3 linked regions of the Callithrix jacchus genome follow. The protein of the gene in region 2 interacts with the protein of the main gene of each other region in a pairwise test. Links are inferred from orthologs where the notes say so. Each region holds a gene or a part of one and is shown on either strand. Other genes may lie near its edges.

Region 1 (3,650 bases), on a different chromosome or scaffold from region 2:
TATGAGATATACAGAATTCCAGGGAGTTATTATATCTGATAATGAAGGAAAGCAATATTCTATCAGGGATATCACAACAAGGAGGTTCAAATATATTGATATTTTAAATTAATTTTAAAGCTAGTGCTAAGTATCCAGATAAACTTGTGTTAATTTTTATATTTTGTACACCTAAATAATTTTTTAAAAATTTATTAAAAAGTATGTTCAGTAGTTTATCTTAACAAAATATTAGTTTAAATTTATGAGTTCAGAAAATTTTTTAAAGTACATATTTGACACAATGCATGCTCTCTGGTGTGTGTGTGTATGTGTGTGTTTGTGTGTGGTATGCATAATGACATTATGCTAAGATATATATGTATGGAGGAAGGTACAAATGTATGCCTAGGTGTAGACTTAACACTAGCAGTTGACCCAGCATCAGCAGAACAAGCATTGTCAATTATTTTCCTAGAAAGAGTGAAGGAAGGATTTGTCCTAGTTTGACTCCACACTTGCACTTCCACCCTTCTGTCTCTCTGCCCCATGATAAATGTCATACAATTCCAAAATAGTTGGCTGGGTTAAGGTAGCCTTTTGTAGAATATATGTGGCTAATTGGTTTCTTGGGGGTCGATTCTATCTTCATCAATTTATAATTTTTTCAATTTTTTAAAAAGTTATATAGACGGTATTGACAGGGATGTTGATATATCATCATCATCTCCAGTCATCTCATCTTTTTTTTTTGAAACGGAGTTTCGCTCTTGTTACCCAGGCTGGAGTGCAATGGCGCGATCTCAGCTCACCACAACCTCCACCTCCTGGGTTCAGGCAATTCTCTGGCCTCAGCCTCCTGAGTAGCTGGGATTACAGGCACGCGCCACCATGCCCAGCTAATTTTTTGTATTTTTAGTAGAGACGGGGGTCTCACCATGTTGACCAGGATGGTCTCGATCTCTTGACCTCGTGATCCACCCGCCTCGGCCTCCCAAAGTGCTGAGATTACAGGCGTGAGCCACCGCACCCGGCCCCAGCCATCTCATTTTATAGGAAAAAAAAAAAAAAACCCGAAGAACTGGTAATATCTTGGACTTAATGCAGATAAGTGACACAACTAAGCGGTTCCCTGACTATTTCATCTATATTTGTAGCCTCACTAAATCTACATTGATGTACAGATGCAAGAAGTGAGAATATACAGAGAGAAAGCATCCTGATTCTTCTCTACTTAATTGAAAACTTTAATCATTTAAAAAATGCTTTCACAGAAACACAAACTGACAATTCAAACCAAAATCAGTCAATCAACAACTTAGCAAAAAAAAACAAAAACAAAAACAAAAACAAAATGAGGGCAAGAAAACTGAAATGAAATTCTTTGTAATAAGGTCTTTTCTTTATTGTAAATCATATTTTATATGTGTAATATTAATTGAACAGTTAATAACTTAGAAAGGGAGGACAAGAACATTTTCATTCATTAGGGATTTTGAAGTTTTCTTCAAATATTTCATATTAATTTAAAAGATATTTCATTATAAAACATCTGGCTTCCTAAATTACTTTATGCATTTGGTAGCTTATTAGCCTGATCACAAAAATCACATCCATCAGAATCACAACTTGTTTGGACAGATATCAGTGAGCATTTATTGTGTGCTCAATGCCAAAGATCTAGCAGCAAAGACAGACAAATGTTAGAAAAACAATATGGCACTGTACATAATTTAAGAATGACATAAATTTACCTTCAGTTATCCGTATATGATTATGCAAAATTTGAAAGAGATACGAGAGCTATCATTCTCGCTTCTGGAGCTTGAATTTGAAATTTTTTTTTTTTTTTTTTTTGAGACGGAGTTTCGCTCTTGTTACCCAGGCTGGAGTGCAATGGCGCGATCTCGGCTCACTGCAACCTCCGCCTCCTGGGTTCAGGCAATTCTCCTGCCTCAGCCTCCTGAGTAGCTGGGATTACAGGCACGCGCCACCATGGCCAGATAATTTTTTTTTGTATTTTTAGTAGAGACGGGGTTTCACCATGTTGACCAAGATGGTCTGGATCTCTTGACTTCGTGATCCACCCGTCTCGGCCTCCCAAAGTGCTGGGATTACAGGCTTGAGCCACCGCACCCGGCCAAATTTGAAATTTTTCTAGACTGCAAATTCATTTTGTCATACCTTGATGATTGCATTTAGTTTGTGAACTTGTCAACTCTACAGTTAGATTACTTAAAAACTATTTCCAGAGATATTGTTATTAATCTTTGAATGCTCAGCATTTTTATTTCCTCCCAAAAATTGTTTAATTCCATTTCAGGTCTATCAGTGTTCATTATCTTCTTATATTATATATATTTATTATATATACTATATATGTTCACAATATTCAAATATATTTTTCTTTTAAAATCAGCAATTTTGCCTTTAATATAAAATAACATATATAAATGTTATTTATACATATATATATGCATATACTCAGTGTTTACCTTAACAGGTAATTTTTGTCTGTCAGAAATTGTGTTCTGAGAAATATATAACTTGTTCATTATTGAACTATAACTTGCTCATCACTTGGTTCTGGGATTTAAATACCATCTTGTGTTAGAAGATATGCTTGTATTGTTCCTATGAGTGTTTATTATCATCTTGCCTAAAAACACTGTGATGGGAGTATATTCTTGCCCACTGACCAAATGGAATACCTTTAAGCCTCTTATCTTCTCTTAAGTGCATAACCTCTCTCATAAACTGCGTCTTTGCTGTAGGAAATCACTGCAAGTAGGATAAAGGAAAAGACATTAGCTTATTCCTAGTTAAATACTTTGAAAGGCATAGTTTGGTAAGGCAGCCTAGCCATGCTTTAAGTACAAGATACACTGGGCCATACATTTGATTTGTAATCAGATTGTAAGAAGCGAATGTTTCTTACTGTAGTCGCTGTTTTCGTCCTTGGTCCCATCAATGGTACCATCTGGGTGCATCTGCAGGAAATATCCCTGCTGGCTAAATAACCTTGTCACAATCCCTTTCAGCTGGGGTTCTGCAAAACAAAATAATTATTCAAATTTTTACTTGGCTTATAAAAATGCACACTTACAAATTGTTAAAAAAAAATCCTGTAAGTAAATACATAAATGCCAATAGCTTCAATATTGAATTACCTGTTTGGGAGTTGAGTATTTCAGTAACATATCTATGCTTTTTTCTTCCTTCTAGAGGTAGAGCCATAACACTTTTAGCAGTAAACTAAATGCAAATAAATAAAGGCTAATTATGATTAGGAAAATACAGAGACATGCTAAAAAGTGAATTATTTTGCTCCCTTGTGCATCTGGTGTCTGACTACAAGATTTCACCAAGTTTATAGCCCCATTCGAGAAATGACTGTTTAGGCCAAAATGCCTCTGCAATTACTAAAGTTTCTAGTGTCATAATCAGGTCCATAAGATTTCTATTTCTGCAGGGTGTCAGCTGTCCATCAGAAGATCCTGGGTTTTGAATTTGTAATCAAGTTCAACCAGAGAGAATAGTTTGGATGAGAACCACAGGCAATAGCAAAACTCCCGTGGCCATGAGATGTCACTGGGAAATATGTGAAAATGTAAATTTCATCTTCACTAAATACTTCACCAGAGAGGAGCCTCAGTATTCCAAAGGTCATT
Region 2 (4,186 bases):
ATGTCCCATGGAATGAAGGGTACCTAAACACGGAAAAGAATTTCTGGCTAGGTCAGGATAGGACAATTGCTGGACTGGAATTCGAATCTTTTTCGTTTCACAGTCTTCCCGGGCGCTAAGCTAGGAGTCTTCCTCCGTGGAAAAAACTAGCGCTTTTTCATCCCAATGTCCTTCTGGTCTCCTTGTTACACTTCCTTCCTTCCCACCTCAGTTTCCCTGGCTCTGCGGGGGCACACACCAACTCCGCTCCTCCTCTCAACCTTCAAACTTATTTAGAGGGTACCGAAGTTTCCGCGCAAATTTTGCGCGCAGTTCCCACGTGCCTGCTTCAAGTCTTCAACTTTCCCTATTCTCTTTCTCCCGGCATCTGTCTGAACTTTTGCGTCTGCGCTTCCAGGCAGCGAACCGTAGGGACAAAGCGGAGCTGTGAAAGGGGGTGGAATGATCGTCTCTACCCCGAAACTGACAGGTTGCCCCACTCCCGCCCCCTCCCGGTAGATCTTCCCCCACTGAGCCTTCATTAGCATAAAACTGGTCTGGCTGGGGACCCGTCCCGCCGCCGTCTCCGTGCGCGCGCTTTGCTGGGCTGGGGAAGCCAAGGCACAGAGTAGCAGGCCCGCTGAGCATCTCAGTGTAAGTGTGCACCTGATCGCTGCGTAAGCTACTACCCTTTAAGAAAAGAAAAGAGAGAGAAATATAGAAAGAAAACACTTTGGAGAGAAAGAGACAGAGATCGAGAGACAGCGCGCTTCCGTCGCTTTCCTTCCCAATCTCTCCAGTTCAGCTTCCATTGAGTCTCGGGCACTCGGTCACCTCCCCCTACCGAGGAAAACCTGCTGGTGCCCTCGCATCTGCCCCGGGGCCACCGAATCCCCTTATTTCCTTTGCACACTCGCTCACACGCAGACACAGGCACACATGCGCGAACACACAGACCCCTCCCCTCGGCGGGCTTCCCCTCCAGACTTCGTAGCTCAACTCCCCGGAGCTCAACCCCCCGGGAAGGTCCGGATCTCTCAGCCTCGCCGGTCGTTTCCCTCCCGACCTCAAAGTGCCCTCCTCTGCTGCAGGCGGGCTCCCTCGCCTTTCCCAGCGGGCCCCTCACCCGGAGCACGTCTCCCCGCTCCCCAAGCCCTGCGGGGCAGGTCACGACCTCTCCCCGCCCCCAGGACGCCGCTCGGCGCCACCGACCAGCCCCATCGGTGCCGGGAGGCTGGCGAAGGAGCCCAGGCCATGGGGAGCGCACGAAAGCCGGCCGTAGCTCCGAGAGGTGTCCCCAGGCACCCGCGCGCCCGGGGCAGGGGGCTGTGGCTGCAGGAAAGGCGCCGTCTTTCTCCCTCTAGTCCCCTCCGCCCTGAGGCTAAGAGTTCCCGCGTCCCACTACAGCTCATCCCCGGGACGCAGCGGGCAAGGGGGCGGACCGGGCCCAAGACCGAGGTCTGGGTAGGGTGAGGTGCCAACTTCTCAGGGGGTTGGGCGCGGCGGGTGAGCCCCGAGCAGGGAGAGGAGAGGGCCGCGCTCGCATGGGCACGCGACTCGCGGGCGCGCGGAGCGAGCGGCGCCGGGAAGGGAGCGAGGGTATGGCGAGCAGGCGGGTGGGAAGGGGCTCGGGTGGCGGAGGCTACCCCCCGCTACTCACCTTGCGTTGGTGCAGTCATTGTAGAGGGTCTCGAAGTCCTTCCTGGAGATGAGTTTGCAGCGGTTCACTCCGGGCTGGATGGCGCCCAGTCCCCTCAGGATGCGAACCTGTTCCACATTGCACACCACCGGCGTGATCTCCAGCCGCTTCAGCTTGGTGTAGACTGTGTGCAAGCCCCCCACCAAGTGCTTCAGGAACAGGTCGAAAGCCTGGGGCAGGCAGATCAGCTCGCAGCCCTCCACCGTGAAGGAAGCCACTTTGGCCCCCCTCAGATCCACCATTTTGCACTCATTATTCTGGGGGGTGTTTTCCACTGGGGACGGGGTTGAGTACACGGGTTTCCCGGGGAGGGGGCCGCAGCTGCTGCTGCTGCTGCTGCTGCTGCTGCTGCTACTGCTACTGCTGCTGCTGCTGCTACTGCTGCTGCTGCTGCTGCTGCCGGTGCTCGCGTTGATGGGGGTGCTGGAGGCGACGCCGCCGCTAGCGCTGATGCTGCCGCCGCCGCCGCCGCTGGTGTTGCTCGCGGCCGCCAGGCTGGGGTTGCAGTTGCTGCCACCGCCGCCTCCATTGCCGCCGCTGCCGCCGCCGCCTCCACTGCCTCCGCCGCCGCCACCGCCGGTAGAAGTGACTGTGGCCGCCGCTGCCGCCGAAGCGATGGGCTCCGGGCGGAACAGAGTTGGCCCAGAGGACGCCGGGGGTCCGATGGAAGGAGCCGGAGACGAAGTCGCCGAAGAGGTGGAGGTGGTGGTGCCAGAGGAGGAAGCAGACGTGGAGATTGGGGGTTGAGGGGGGACCAGCTGGGTCGGAGGGATCAAAGCCGCCGGCACTGCCATGGTCACATATAAGGGGAAGCAGACGGAGGAGAAGCGAGGGGAAAAGTTGCCACACACCCCGGGAGGGGAAGGGGAAAAAAGGGGGGAGAAGGAGCGAGGGGGGCAACAACAACAACTCCAGGAGAGAACGAGAAGGAGAAAGGGAGAGAAGGGGGAGAAAAGGAGGTGAAGGTGATAAAGAGCGAGCGCAGGAGGGGCGAGCACGAGAGGCGCTCTGGAGAGAAACGCACAAAAGTGTCCCGCAAGTCGAAATGCGAGTCCTCTCCGGGGGCTGGGATGGAGGGCTGGTTTGGGGGGGTGGGGGCGGGGGCGGGGAGGGTCGGCTGTTGTTGTGTGGGTCCCGCTCTAGCACAAAGTTAAGGATGAAGGTGAAAAGGAGGAGGTTTGAAGGACTTGGGCTCTCCCTGGCAAGTACATTGATCAAAGATTGAGAGGCGAATGACAGAGAGAAAATGAGCTGAAAAGTGCAGGCTGCCGGCTGGACGAGTTGTTGTTGTCACACGGTGCAGAGGGGAGGAGCTCCGGAAACTTGAAATACCCTTTGAAGCCGCAAAAACCTCACTCACTAGTATTAACCCAAATTATCCAACCAGGAACTCGGAGCAGAGACTCCGAGAGCGCGAGACACTGGAGAGGGAGCGTGCGAGGAAAGGAGGAGGGGAGGGGGAGGATAAAGAAAGAAACTGTGGGAGGAACGGAGAGGAAAAGCCGGGGACGCAGAAGTGGCGATCGGAAAAGGAGAGGGAGATCTTCCACTTCTCTTCTATACTACCGTTAGATTGCATGTCTCACATTGCATTTCGTCCGCGGCGACTGGTAATTTTTTCCAAAGCTTCTAAACAATCGCCTGCCAACTTAAAGACGAGCCAGAGCGCCCCGAGCTTGCTCCTTCAAGGATTTAGGATCCATCTCCAGGCGTTTTGGCAATGAGATAGAAAGGAAAACAGCCCCCACTTCATGATTATTCAGAAACTATTTTGAGGAAAATTCACATGTAAGCAAAGCGTAATATTCTTTTGCATCTGATTGTTTTATTTCTCTACTAAATCATTTATTTATATAAAGGTAGTGAAAATTCCAGGGCAATTTTCAAGTGGTGGGAAGTCAGTCAGAAATCGCTTAAGAATAATGGAAAGCTGTATTCAATTCCCTATTTCTTAATATGCTGTGGAAAGAAATGCTTGTCCTGATGTGCATGATTTAGAATAACTTCACTGTCGCCCCAAAAGCAAGTCAGAAATACCGCTTATACTTAGAGAGATCAAGGAGATAAGGCATCCTTGAAGATTTAGAAAGTGGAAAAAGGCTTTTCTTACTCAAAACTCTATAATTAATTCACCTGTCTTACACAGTAACCAACTATCCTCATTGTCCTTTAAGACCCAAGGCCAGTGGTTAATGTGTTTTTTGGACAACACAATAGTTTTGTTTTTTGTTTTTTTTTTCCATGTTTGAAAAGTGCTGCTGTAGTTTTGCAAAGTCCTTTCCAATTTGTCAATAATAGATGTTTTGTAAATAATGAGAACAAAAACAGCTCACTAGTTGACTTGTAAAGACTTCGGTAGCTGTGCTTAAAAAAACGTGAGGCTGAGTTTAGACTGACTCTTCCTCCTTTCCTTTTCTTCTGTTTTCTAACTTGTTGCATCGAGCTATTTATTCAAGGATTTTTGACTCACATATGATTTGAACATAGGTCAAATCTATTTGCTGCTCA
Region 3 (3,650 bases), on a different chromosome or scaffold from region 2:
GAGTAGAACACAAAGTCAGGAGCAAGAAGAACCATGAGAACAAGAGAAACAGGAAGACTCCATAAGACAGAGAAATAGCTGCACATTTTAGTCACTGAAATGGAGGACTTTTTTCTGTTCTTTAATCTTTTAGTATTGCCGTAAGTTTCATGTAGGAGAAACAGATCTAGTTCTAAAAATAAACTATTTTTCTTCCATTAGGAGTCCTAGCCCTGTCAGTATCCTAGAATAATGGTTAGAAAAAGAATCATTTAAAAATACTATCCAAGTTTTAAAATTAATTTTCAGTTCTATCAAGAAGTCAACTCATCTGAAACAATCACTAACAGAATTCAGCCTCAGAGTCCTTGTTTAGATTTAGATTTACAAGCTGCTTTTAACTAAGCAATCTGGGCTTATATCAGATCCCAGTTAATGGAGAAAAGCTGACTGACATTGACCCTGGTCATAATCAGAAGCCCTCAGCATGATTTAGCAGCCATAGAGAAAGCTTACACTTCCTAAGATAAGCAACTGAAGTTAAATTATTTGGAGTTTTTCTCTTTAAAAGTGGTCTGTTCAATTTGAAAGGCAAATATAAGAGGATTCTCCATTAGAAATATAAAATATTTGTAATAGAGCACAGGAATTATAAGCAGCTTTTCTTTTTTAGGTAAACATCCAAAAGTAGGCCTTCCAGATGGCAAATATTGTAAATTTAAATGACAAATAAAAAGGGACAAGATTTCCTGTTTCTTACACTCCGCATAGTGCCACTGACTAAACCCTGCACAGGTACTACCTTACTTATTAATCAGTTAAGATTGAACAACTAATGGTTTTTCACATTGCATAAATATGCTTATAAATCAACCATGCTTTTGAGAAATCTGCTAAAAAATCTGTAAAATGTGATAAATACTAAAAGGGAGGCTCTGAGTGCTGTGTGAGCTACCAAGTCCCATGAAGAAGCCATTCTCCAACTTCTTTTCTTCTCCAGTCCCTTCTCAAGAGAGGCAGCTGGGGCTGTGCGAGGTGGCTCATGCCTATAATCCCAGCACTCTAGGAGGCTGAGGTGGGTGAATCAACTGAGGTCAGGGGTTTGAGACCCAGCTGGCCAACATGGTGAAACCCCGTTTATACTAAAAAATACAAAAAATTAGCCAGGCGTGGTGGCAGGCGCCTGTAATCCCAGCTACTCGGGAGGTGAGGAAGGAGTATCGGTTGAACCTGTTAGGTGGAGACTGCAGTAAGCTGAGATTGCACCACTGCACTCAAGCCTGAGTGACAGAGCAAGACTCCATCAGAGAGAGGGGAGAGTGAGGAGAGAAGGGGGGAGAGGAGGAGAGAGGGGGGGAGAGGAGGAGAGAGGGGGGGAGAGGAGGAGAGAGTGGGGGGAGAGGAGGAGAGAGGGGGAGAGAGGGGGAGAGAGGGGGAGAAAGGGGGAGAGAGGGGGAGAGAGGGGGAGAGAGGGGGAGAGAAGGGGAGAGAAGGGGAGAGAAGGGGAGAGGTGAGAGGGGGGAGGAGACAGATGCACCTGGGATGCATGTAAATTGAAGAGAGAGGGGAATTAAGGGAAAAGGAGCAAGAGACTATGTGAGTATACTGGGGGAGGAATAGGGGAAAATACTAGAAAACTAAAACCACTTCCCTCTGTCTACCCACCCCAATTCGGGGAATGGCACCTATAACGTTGTCAATTTCACTATTAACAGGTGAGAGTCATAATGACAAGGAATCAGGGTAGATCAACTAACAAGAATTGAACCAAGAAGGAATATAAGAGACCAATTAAAATGTCAATTATATGCATAAACAATTATTTGACAAAGAATTCTACTGTAAAAATTTTAGCTGTAACACATAAAACAACTCTCTTCCCCAGCACACACCCCCGCACCCAAATCCAGCATTAAGTGGATGCTGGTTAGCTGCAATCTGAAACTGCAACCACACATCCAGTTAATCTGTCCCTGTTTTGTGCATGTGTGTGTGCGGGTGCACACACATGCACGGATGTAAAGTATGAAAAGCTCACTGGTGAAATGGGACTATGAATATCTAAATAATTCGGCCAATTATCAGTGACCTAAATGCTAAACAGTCTTGATATTCCTGAACAGATCAACTGTCTTGCATCTGCTGCCTCTGGCACAGATATTAGAATGTAAAGTAATATTCCTTTTTATTCTAATGGTATTATCTTTTTTAAGGTTTAAACCATAAGCTCAAATTTACAAAAGTACTCTAACCTGAAAGATTAGCTTGGTAGATGGGGGAATGAAAACTGTATGATCCAAAGAGAAAAACTAATGAGCCCTTGAGGTCAGCAAATCTGACAGCTTTTTGTTTTGTTTTGCTTTGTTGTTTTGAGACAGGGTCTCTCTCTGTCACCTAGCCTGGAGTGCAGTGGCTCAATCTCGGCTCACTGCAACCTCTGCCACCCAGGCTCAAGTGTTCCTCCCACCTCAGCCTCCTGAGTAGCTGGGAGTACAGGGATGCACACCTGGCTGATTTTTGTATTTTTTTTTTGTAGAAACTGGGTTTCACCATGTTGCACAGGCTGAGCTTTCGTCTTAATACACATCAGTCTATCAATCTTCATTATGACTTCTAGAAAAGCAGCTGCTATTGATTCATTATCTATCCCAGAACACTTTATCTATATTTAGCTTCAAGTCATATTTATGTCTCAATCAAGAGTTGAGGCTGTTACTAGAAAAGTATATATAACCCAGAGGAAATGAGGTTCTTTACATAAGGCCTCAAGCCTTAATGAGATATCTACAGGAACTGTACACATTTCTACTTGTATACATTCATGTCTACGTGATACCAGTTGACTGTTACTTGTTATTAATATAGATTTTTACAAAGCAAAGCAGTTATTGTATTTACTCAGAAAATTTTCTTATTATAACTACATTAGCTCAATTTTTAGTCCTAATTAAAGTGAAATCTTTCATTTAAGGAATGGATAAGAACCTAAGAAAAAAAGTAGTATCAATATTTAAGAAAAATGAGGAAGATCTCATAGTCTACATTATAACACAGATTAAATAGGAAAACAGCAAGACAAGAAAAGAAATATACTTGATTAAAAATTACTCCTATTACAATTCATGATTGCTTTAATTACTGCCATTCCTTTTTAAAACACCAAGCATTTTTAATTTCTTAGCATCAGGATCCATCAAGGCAAGGGAAAAAAATTACAAAACCAAAGCCATTTGTTTTTCATGCACTGAATTCAAGATCATTAAGGTAGTCTTCAATTAAAGACAATTTTTAAGTTTCTAAAAATGGATAGGAAAAATTAAGTTTCAAGTCTAACCTGAGTTGGTGACAGCCATTTGCCACTAAGTGTGAATGAAGGTGGGGAAGAGGATGGATAATCTGGTGGCAGTTCAAAGTTCAGCACAAGTGGCGGCAGAAAGCAAATGGTGTATTCAAAGCCACTATTCTGGAGACACTCATTTGAATTGCCTGAACCAAAAACAAAGATTAGAAAGGATCAGTTGGTCAATACTTGAGTGTCCATTACTGTTGAGCAATGCTCAAGAAAGACTTAATGCTTTAGTAAGAGGGAATAAAAACCCTCCTCAAAGGACTTTCTATTTCCTAATTTTAACTTGGTAACCGCCACCTTAAAAAAATATTGCAACCCCTTG

The links.
Region 1: the proteins of DACH1 (region 2) and FGF12 interact in binary tests that used the Homo sapiens proteins (3 or more experiments, as listed by UniProt). The two-hybrid records come from large-scale screens. The link is inferred for Callithrix jacchus from reciprocal best matches to the Homo sapiens genes DACH1 and FGF12.
Region 3: the proteins of DACH1 (region 2) and RNF14 interact in binary tests that used the Homo sapiens proteins (3 or more experiments, as listed by UniProt). The two-hybrid records come from large-scale screens. The link is inferred for Callithrix jacchus from reciprocal best matches to the Homo sapiens genes DACH1 and RNF14.

The regions. Positions count from the first base shown.
Region 1 is NC_133516.1:21,261,425-21,265,074, forward strand, and holds part of FGF12 (fibroblast growth factor 12), read right to left. Parts: intron 3,029-3,650; coding exon 2,918-3,028; intron 1-2,917. UniProt on the Homo sapiens protein: Involved in nervous system development and function. Involved in the positive regulation of voltage-gated sodium channel activity. Promotes neuronal excitability by elevating the voltage dependence of neuronal sodium channel SCN8A fast inactivation.
Region 2 is NC_133502.1:43,445,237-43,449,422, reverse strand, and holds the start of DACH1 (dachshund homolog 1), read right to left. Parts: upstream 2,913-4,186; 5' UTR 2,473-2,912; coding exon 1,640-2,472; intron 634-1,639; exon of another isoform or gene 543-633; intron 1-542. UniProt on the Homo sapiens protein: Transcription factor that is involved in regulation of organogenesis. Seems to be a regulator of SIX1, SIX6 and probably SIX5.
Region 3 is NC_133503.1:40,423,024-40,426,673, reverse strand, and holds part of RNF14 (E3 ubiquitin-protein ligase RNF14), read right to left. Parts: intron 3,466-3,650; coding exon 3,314-3,465; intron 1-3,313. UniProt on the Homo sapiens protein: E3 ubiquitin-protein ligase that plays a key role in the RNF14-RNF25 translation quality control pathway, a pathway that takes place when a ribosome has stalled during translation, and which promotes ubiquitination and degradation of translation factors on stalled ribosomes.